3 linked regions of the Sus scrofa genome follow. The protein of the gene in region 3 purifies or fractionates together with the protein of the main gene of each other region. This does not show direct contact. Links are inferred from orthologs where the notes say so. Each region holds a gene or a part of one and is shown on either strand. Other genes may lie near its edges.

Region 1 (2,444 bases), on a different chromosome or scaffold from region 3:
GGCTGAGCTGTCATAGACACTGAGCTTGTGGCACCTGTACCCCACCTTCGAAGTTAGAAGTTCGTGAAAGAAATGGCCCTCAGCCTCCCACCCCCACGCAGCGTCCTGGGGTGTTGAGACCTTCGTGGCGACAGTGATTTGTGGCTAATAATTCCTGAGCTTGCACCGTTGCGGGATGCTGATTTCTGCATGGCAGGGGTTTGACGTGCAGTATGCCCAGCTCCTCTTCTCTTGCGCTGAAGTGTTAGTCTCAGCCGAGCTTCATTATTTGCCCTTGTCCATAATTTCTGGAGCCCAGTTGCTGAGATTATTAAGATACTAGGTAAAGCGATCCATTTTAAAAATAAATGTGACATTTTACAGTGTGGATGAAACCCTACCACGTGTGGTATTTGCTGAGAACTACTTTACTTTGCATAAAAAAGTCCTTTATTACATAGTTGGTGACACTCGGGCTTTCATTTATTTCTGAACAGCATGATGTAGAAATAAATAAAATTATATCCACAACTGCATCAAAGACAGAAACGCCAGTGGTGTCTAAAGCCCTGAGTTCCGCTCTGGACGACACCGAAGTGAAGAAGGTGATGGAAGAGTGTAAGCGGCTGCAGAGCGAGGTCCAGAGGCTGCGGGAGGAGAACAAGCAGTTGAAGGTACCCGTGTTTTGTTTCCTGATGTCTGCGGAGAAGGGGGCTCTTTCCCTCCGATCCTGGGCGGGGATGTTGACGCACCCCCGGATTTGTCGGGCGGTTTCGTGTTGGCACATTTCCCTCCAGGCGGCAATCTCCACTCCTTTCCTCGAGTTCTCAAAGGGTCCTGAGCACACCTCCACACACCCCCCAGTCAAGAGCCAGGGTCCCTTGAGCAGAGGCTTCTCGACTATTCAAACAGAAACACCCCCAATCCCTCCCACCCTCCGCTGCTGTAAGTTGAAATTTAATTCTGAGACTAAAAATAAGACAGCAGTGCTTATCTTGAATTCCCATCTTCAAACTCCATTCCATTCCCATTGGATGAGAAGCTTTTTAAAGAGGGTAAATCCCCTTGTGTAGTCTTTTTAACACAGTTTGCGTAGTTCGGATTTTTGAGGATTCTGAATCGGTTTAGGCAGTAGGGTGTTATCACACTGTTAACACAGTGATGAGATTGGAGGTGGGACGCTGTCACCATAAGGTGGGTGGAGATGGCGGGAGAGACCCGAGTCTCCAGCTGGTGGCCGTTGACCCGGCCGTTGGCGTTGGTGTTGGCGGGTCAGGTTGCCCTGGGTGGTGGAGGGGGGCCGGTGCACTTCTCTTGGCCTCGGAGGCTTTGCGTGTTGTGGAAACAGCTAGCCAGACTTGAACGAGCTGTGGCTCTTTCTTAGCCACACAGAGGCCCGGGAGCAGGCCTCTGCTCGCAGAGCACTTCTGAGGCCCCTTGCAGAGTGGGGAGTGGTAGGTCTGGTTCCCGCACACGTTAAAGAGAGCCCTGCTGCACAGCTCATCGCAGGGGCTTTGGTGGCAGCTTAAATCTTGGGGCCGATCCCTTCTCTCCATCTCGGTCACGTTCCGCATGACAGCAGGTACGTGGGATGAGTTCGTCTCAGCTGGCCCGGCCTTCTTTGGCTCTGACCGTGTGGCAGACGCGGGGGGCCGACGGTTTGGGGAGCTCCTCCCTCTTTGCAGTTATCGCCTCGTTTGGCCGCCCTTTGAGTGTGGAGTCAATTATGAGGCCGACACCCTACTTTCTGGCGAAAAATCTACGACACGCCTAGAGCTTCTCCTTGAATGTATTTCTCTTCAGAAACAGAGTTCTGTGCCATTTAAAGTGATAAATAGCTAGAAATAGCTTCTATATAAACCCAATGAAATAAATGCTGTATTTTGCTGTGTCCTTTTTTGGGGAGTTAATCAAACAGCACCAGTCCTTTATCACTGCGTACGCTCTTGGCTGTGCCCCACGAGCTGTGTATCTTTAATGTACTCTCAGACCAGTCTTGACGTTAGAAGATTCTTTATCTTGCCAAACACTGATTTCTTGTTTTGTGTTGTTTCATGCCCTCACTTGGCACATTTCTTGAGACCCTACTGGGTCCCCAGCACTGTGGATACAGACACGGGCGGGCCCTGCCCATAAGAGCACTCTATTGACCACAGACGCTGGCACTCACAACCCGTGTCATGAGGGGTCCCACAGAGTTGGCCTCAGGTGCCAGGGAGGGTCGGCGCGATGGCTGGCCGCCTGGGGTCTCCCGACCTTGCCGGCACGTGGTGAACGTGAGCCAAGTGAGGGAAGCAAAGAAAGTGCCCCCGCTGTGGAGGCTGCCAGGGAGGGAGTGGAGGGTGCCCTCTGGCCGGGAGGCCTCGGAGTGGGCCCTGCTGGGGAGTGACCAGGGAGAGCAGGGCTGTGCAGGGACCGGAACGTGGCAGGTGTCTGCTCTGTGTGTGAAGACGGGCGTGGCTTCT
Region 2 (2,219 bases), on a different chromosome or scaffold from region 3:
CAGATGTAAGTGCATCTTTTACAAAACCAACACCAATTTTCAAAAATCAAAATTCACTTATATTACATTGTACTTAGCAGAAAAAGTGACTCTATCTTCTCTGGTTCCAAAATTTTCTATGCTGGCACAGATTAACCAAATAAAAGACTAATTGCAGGAAAGTACACCAGACCCCATAATGTTGCATTTACACTGAAAACATACCACACGGTTGACAGGGGCAAGGATAGGGTCATTTTTCACAAAGGAATTCCCAAGGCTCAAGTCATAACAAATTTCCATAATGGAAACTTACTTTTGAGTATCAAACTGGACAGGGAAAAAAACCACTTTTAACTATTACAATGAAATGTTCTAAAATAAAAGGAATTATTAGGCTGGTCAAAAAGCAGTGACTAGAACCAAGAAGCATTATTAGGCTTTCTTGAGAAGATACTGAAAGAACCTATGAAGACTAGAGTAAAATAAACACAACAGAGCCATGCAGCAGACACGTAAACTGACTGAAATCACAGCACTTTTATTCTCATTGCTTATTTTATATTATCTCGAAGACAAATGGATTTTGATCTTCCAAAATGCCAAAAGCGGCCTGAAATGTTATCAATTCCTTTGCTTAAAACAATGAGGACTCTTCCCCGCAAATACTGTAATATATGAAAGGGTTCAGTGTGAGATAAATTACACATTTTATAACCCAAATCACCACAGCGCACGCCCTGGTATCCCATCTAATGACATGACAGACACACACAAGCTATCGAGCAAGAATCTGTTAACGGTTTTATTATTTTTATGTTAAATACCATGGGACAGGATTGTAAGGGTGAAAAACTCAGTCAACAACTGCCTCACGAGGGATAAGAAAAATTCTGCCATGATATTAGCAAAGGTAAAGGAGAAAATTTACACTGTAAGAGGCACCATTTCCCCACAGAATACCTCTTGGCATTTCCTGAATGAGTGGGATTAGCAATCTAAATAAATCATATTTCAAGAGGTAACAGCAACAGATAAAATTTAAAGGGATTATTAAAATAACATTTACAAGACTCTGAACAATTCTTGAACTCTTATTAAAACCACAAAGAAAGAACAATTTTTTATTTATGAATTTCATAAAGGACTGAATGTGCAACTGACACCTGCTAGTGATGGTCTGGCCACGTACACTCTGTCCAGGCGCCGAACACTCTGCTCTTACTGATTTCTAACCGTGAGACCTTTAAAGGCGAGGCCTACATGACGCTGTACACACAAAGAATGGTCACCGTGGGCCACACTACCAGTGAGATGGTAGGTAAACAAATCTTTTTCTGGTCGGGAGAAAAAAAAAGAAATAGCACTCTGCATGCTTCACTCTACAAGATGAATTTTCCTAGAAAGAATCCAATGAAAATGGCTGCAATTACAACAAGGAGTGAAGGAAGAGGGCTGGTGACATTATCTCTGAAGGACGCGGCTGAGGTGGATCCAGGTTTTTCCGAATGTGCTACCTTTCTGAGCCTTAAGCCTTCATCCTAGGAAAAAATATATGCACAAAGAAAGGTTTTAAAAACGAATATGCATAAGAGGACTGAGCTACAAATGAACAGACAAGGAAGCAAAGTAGGATGCATGCAGCTTGGTGACAACAGGGATGAGCCGCTAGCTGGCCTAATAAAACTTTCTAGGGGGACAGAAACGTTCTAAAAGGGGGCTCCAGGGATGGCTGTGCAATTCTATAAATTTACTAAAAATCAGAGCTGTATACTCACAACAGGTGTCCTTATGGAATATAAATTACACCTCAATAATGCTGATTTTTAAAACTGGAGCTAAGAAATATACTCCCAAAAAACTGAAATATCAGCTACAGTTACATTTACATAGAAGGAAAAATCCTACTAAAATGAACACAACTGAAGAATTCTCTGCATGCAGTTATTTCCCAGTGGCCCACAGTAGCTTGACATTGCTTACACCTGTCCTAGCCCTGAGCCACAGACTACCAGAAACAAAGTTAGGTCAGATAGTCTGAGTTAGGGCACTCGCACAGCAGAGGTTCAGGGGACAGATAGGACCTGAAAGGGTTTGGGAGAAGGGGGAAGTTCAGGACAATATTTAAACGTAGTGTTCTGACGTGCCCCATGCAAAGCAGGAGGTCGGCACAGGGTCTGGACTGCAGAGCAAATGCAAAATCCTTTGTTAATGGCAACTACAAGTACAACAGATGAGGG
Region 3 (3,928 bases):
AACAAGTGCTTTGGTTTAAAAGCAAACACCAACCTCCTTCCATTCGAGGCAACTCTGAAGAAGGTTTCTTACTTTGCCTCTGTTGGAGGAAACAGGGCCCACGAGAATGATGAAAGCATCCTGTGACATGTCACAACTACGTGATGGGATGCTCCAGCACCCTCACCCTGCAGGCCAGCTCCCTTGGTCTAAGCCAGGTCCGATAGCAGACCGGGTAGTATGGTCCTTGGGGCACTGGACTCTCATATCCAGGATAGCTTTGGGTGACCTTAGGACCATTTGGCAGTTTGAGTCCTCGTAACCAGTTAACAGCTGGGAAGAATTCACTTCTGCCTGGACCTGGGCATCTACTCTTTGGGGATCAGCACAGCTACAGGGCACCTCCCCAGTTCACACCTACAAGATAACAGTCAATCATTCAGTCCCAACACTCTAAGAGCTAATTCTTCTCTGATGAACACTGACCATGTGTCAGGCAGGGTGCAATGAACAGCCAAGGCCATGGGTTTAGATCTCTGTGGTACCAAACTCTAACCAACTGGGTCAACCATAAGGAAAAGTAAGTGACAGAAATTGAACAGGTCTTGAACCCAGAACTGTGGCCTTTTTTAGTGCCACACTCCACTCAAAACAAACTTATAAATGCCAGTGCATACCTAGCGAGGCAAGTGAGAAAATGACAGAGGCGGCAGAGTGTAGGAATGAGGAGGAAGGATTACTCAGAGAGGAAGTCATGTGGCTGAAATTTTGGTTAGAACAGGAAAAGAATTTTCGCAAAGAAAAAGTATTCTATATGAACATCAGGGATCATGGTTACAATTCTGTTTTCTCTGCATTAAGTACTCTTCTGTGATTTAGCACAGATACTTTCCCCACAGGAGAGTACACTTAGAGCTAAAACCACACACTTTAAGAACTTCAGAATATTACATATTTGTGAACTGAGAATTTGTTTTGCTAGAGAAAGAACAGACTTCATCTATCAGTGCGTTGTTTTGAATGATTCTTATGGCTGGTGTTGAAATCAACTGAACTTTTATTAAACAATTTTTTTTTTTTTTTTGGTCTTTTTGCCTTTTCTAGGGCCGCTCCCATGGCATATGGAGGTTCCCAGGCTAGGGGTCGAATCGGAGCTGTAGCTGCCGGCCTACACCAGAGACACAGCAACTCAGGATCCGAGCCACACCTGCAACCTACACCACAGCTCATGGCAACGCCGGATCCTTAACCCACTGAGCGAGGCCAGGGATCGAACCCACAACCTCATGGTTCCTAGTCGGATTCATTAACCACTGAGCCACAACGGGAATTCCTCTTTTTTTAAATTTATTTATTTATTTATTTTTTAACTTTCAAACATTGTAATGGCAAAGAGAATCACTTAGTCTATCCTTACCTCCCTGGCCCCCATCTTCCTGTTAAGCAGTTGACTTGCACAAGGTTTAAGCAACTGGTGGACTGGCAATTATGTCCATATACCACCCTGCCCTTCCCTCAGAAAAACTATCATCACATGTGAACTGTAATTATTTAACTGCCTGCCTGCTTCACCTGACCCCACCAGAAAGGCAAACTTCACAGGAAAAGGGCTTTGATTGCAGTCCCTGCTAAGCACGCAGTAGGCACTAGTTAAACTGTTAAATGCAGGAAGGAGTTAAAGGGCCCACGCATAGCAGAAATGCTATGCTAGCAGGGTAGATACGAATAAAGCATTTGTGAATGAAAGGCCTTTAGAATAAATGAATTGATGCCAACTGGGCCATTTAAGCTGGCAAAGGAGGAGTAACTCTTGCCTGGCAAAGTGTGTTTGTAGCGACCTTGAGCATATGGAAGCCACATTTTTAGGCTGGGGTGTGCACGGAGTCTCTGAGAATTCTGTACAAGGAAGAAGCTGATTCCATTTTATACCGCACGTTGTAAATGGCACTATCGACATATAAAAGACTCTGCCCAAGGAGGCTCTGGGCAGAATGTCCCAGCCCACCCTAAGCCAGAGAGAAATAAACCCTAAGCATTGAACGTCCCCAGGATAGGAAGCACCTTCAAATCCAGGAAAAGAAGGTAAGTAGATACCCGGAGCTGAAGGTGGCCGCTCTAGATCAGCCCTTTTGTCAGCCAATGATCAGGGCCCTCTCTGTGTTCCAGATTCCAAGGTGACGGTGCCACAGGTTAGAAATTCCCTTTCGTATTCACGGCGTATGACTGGTAACAATGGAATTTTGCATCTCTTACTAACCAGCTCTTCGGCTTAAGTACCTCCCACATATACACCCACACCCGAGGTGAGGGGTGCAGGCGCCTAAGGATCTGAGGCTTGGGCAGGCACAAAGCTTGACAGGCGGGCCCGCGCCCTTGGCTTTCGGGGGCCCAGGCTAACGCGAGACGCCTCGCCCGCCCAGGGCCGCCCCCGCGCGGGGTGGAAGTGGAGGCTGGATAGGCTCTCCGCACCTCGGCGGGTTGCAGAGCCTCGGCGTACGGGCCGGGCGTTGGGGCGTTTCGGCGTTGGGGTGGGGTACGCCTCGCCCCAGGCCGGGCGGGCAGGAGCTGGGGATGGGGGACCGTCGGAGCGGCAGGGGACTCACCTGCAGCAGCACCGCCAGCAGGAAGCACAGGTACATCTGGTAGATGCCCATCTCGCCCACTGCCTGGAACGCCTCCTCCACCTCCATGGCGGGCCGCGCGCTCCGCCTCGGCCCCGCCGCCAGCAGGAGCCCGGCCCTGGCCTGCCCTTCTACCGCCCCCGCTCCGGCGCGGCCCTCGGCGGCGGGCCCAGCGCGCGAGCCCCACGGCGCCCGGCACCGGCTCGGCCCCGCCGGCTCCCAGCCCGGCGCGGCGTGGGTGCGCGGGCGGGGCGGCGGGCCGCGCGTCTGCGCGGGCGGGGCCGGGGGCCGCGCGGGCTTGCGAGTCCGGGGCGGGAGGCCGGGTACCCGGGCCTCTGCGCTTCCTGTTAAAGATTTTTTTTTCTGAGAAGGATGAGTGTCTGCGGCGCTTAAAGGAAAGAGGAAGTGGAAGTGGGCTCGAGCTTAGGCATCTCTCTGATGGAGAAACACGAAAAGGGCAGCTGCCACGGCCCCGGCTTCGGCGATGAGTGCTGGGTGACCTGGGGACTGCTCAGCATTATTTGCTTTTTTGTACAAATCAGTTTAATGAGGGGAGAGGGAATGGGTTCTAGATCTTTCAGAGATGAGTGGTGTTCAACATTTTTTTCCAGTGCTACTCAGTGCTACCCTATGAGGTCAGGTCACAGGTAGTCAAATCCTTGCAAAACCATAAGATGTATTTGGTTATAGATATATGCACGAGGTACGAAGGAAATACAAAAAAACTGAAAGATTAATTTGTGGGACAGGACATGATGGCTGCCAAGGTGATTGAAGGATAAACAGCAGTGTGCCCGGCTGGAAATGGAAAAAGATGCAACAGGAACTAGGGACGCTGGTTGCCTGCTTTAAGTCCCCACTTTTCTGAACCTGCTTAGGTCGATTTTAACAGCTGCATAGTAGTCCACTGTCCAGACTGTGGCCCTCAATACAATAGTTAACAGAAGAGATGAACAGCTATAATGCCTTATCCAGGATTTTACCTCTAGGAGAGGGAGAAGGACCTCTAATTTTCTTGTAACTGCTCTTGTCTGGATTTGGCTGTAAGATTATAGAAGTTTAGTAAAATGAGTTGGAAGTATTTGGTAAAACTCCTTTTTTTTTTTTTTTTTTTTTTTCCTTTTTGGTTCTGACCACAGCCTGTGGAAGTTACCCTGGCCAGAGACGGAACCTGTGCCACAGCAACCCAAGCCTATGAGGCACAAGGGAACCCTGGTAAACCTGTTGAAACCATCTGGACTTGGCTTATTTTGCAAGATGAGCCTTGTTATTACAGAGATAGAGAGATAGAGAGAGAGAGAGAGAGAGAGAGAGAGAGAGAGATAGAC

The links.
Region 1: the proteins of SLC22A15 (region 3) and VAPB purify together in Homo sapiens (co-immunoprecipitation; 3 studies listed by BioGRID and IntAct, with this or other methods). This does not show direct contact. The link is inferred for Sus scrofa from reciprocal best matches to the Homo sapiens genes SLC22A15 and VAPB.
Region 2: the proteins of SLC22A15 (region 3) and VAPA purify together in Homo sapiens (co-immunoprecipitation; 3 studies listed by BioGRID and IntAct, with this or other methods). This does not show direct contact. The link is inferred for Sus scrofa from reciprocal best matches to the Homo sapiens genes SLC22A15 and VAPA.

Annotation. Positions count from the first base shown.
Region 1 is NC_010459.5:58,640,536-58,642,979, forward strand, and holds part of VAPB (vesicle-associated membrane protein-associated protein B), read left to right. Parts: intron 1-476; coding exon 477-653; intron 654-2,444. UniProt on the Homo sapiens protein: Endoplasmic reticulum (ER)-anchored protein that mediates the formation of contact sites between the ER and endosomes via interaction with FFAT motif-containing proteins such as STARD3 or WDR44.
Region 2 is NC_010448.4:98,211,835-98,214,053, forward strand, and holds the end of VAPA (vesicle-associated membrane protein-associated protein A), read right to left. Parts: intron 1,521-2,219; coding exon 1,362-1,520; 3' UTR 501-1,361; downstream 1-500. UniProt on the Homo sapiens protein: Endoplasmic reticulum (ER)-anchored protein that mediates the formation of contact sites between the ER and endosomes via interaction with FFAT motif-containing proteins such as STARD3 or WDR44.
Region 3 is NC_010446.5:104,752,868-104,756,795, forward strand, and holds the start of SLC22A15 (solute carrier family 22 member 15), read right to left. Parts: upstream 2,801-3,928; 5' UTR 2,670-2,800; coding exon 2,583-2,669; exon of another isoform or gene 2,186-2,582; intron 1-2,185. UniProt on the Homo sapiens protein: Organic zwitterion/cation transporter with apparent specificity for amino acids and their derivatives. Has low affinity for its substrates and may regulate their flux across the plasma membrane at high substrate concentrations.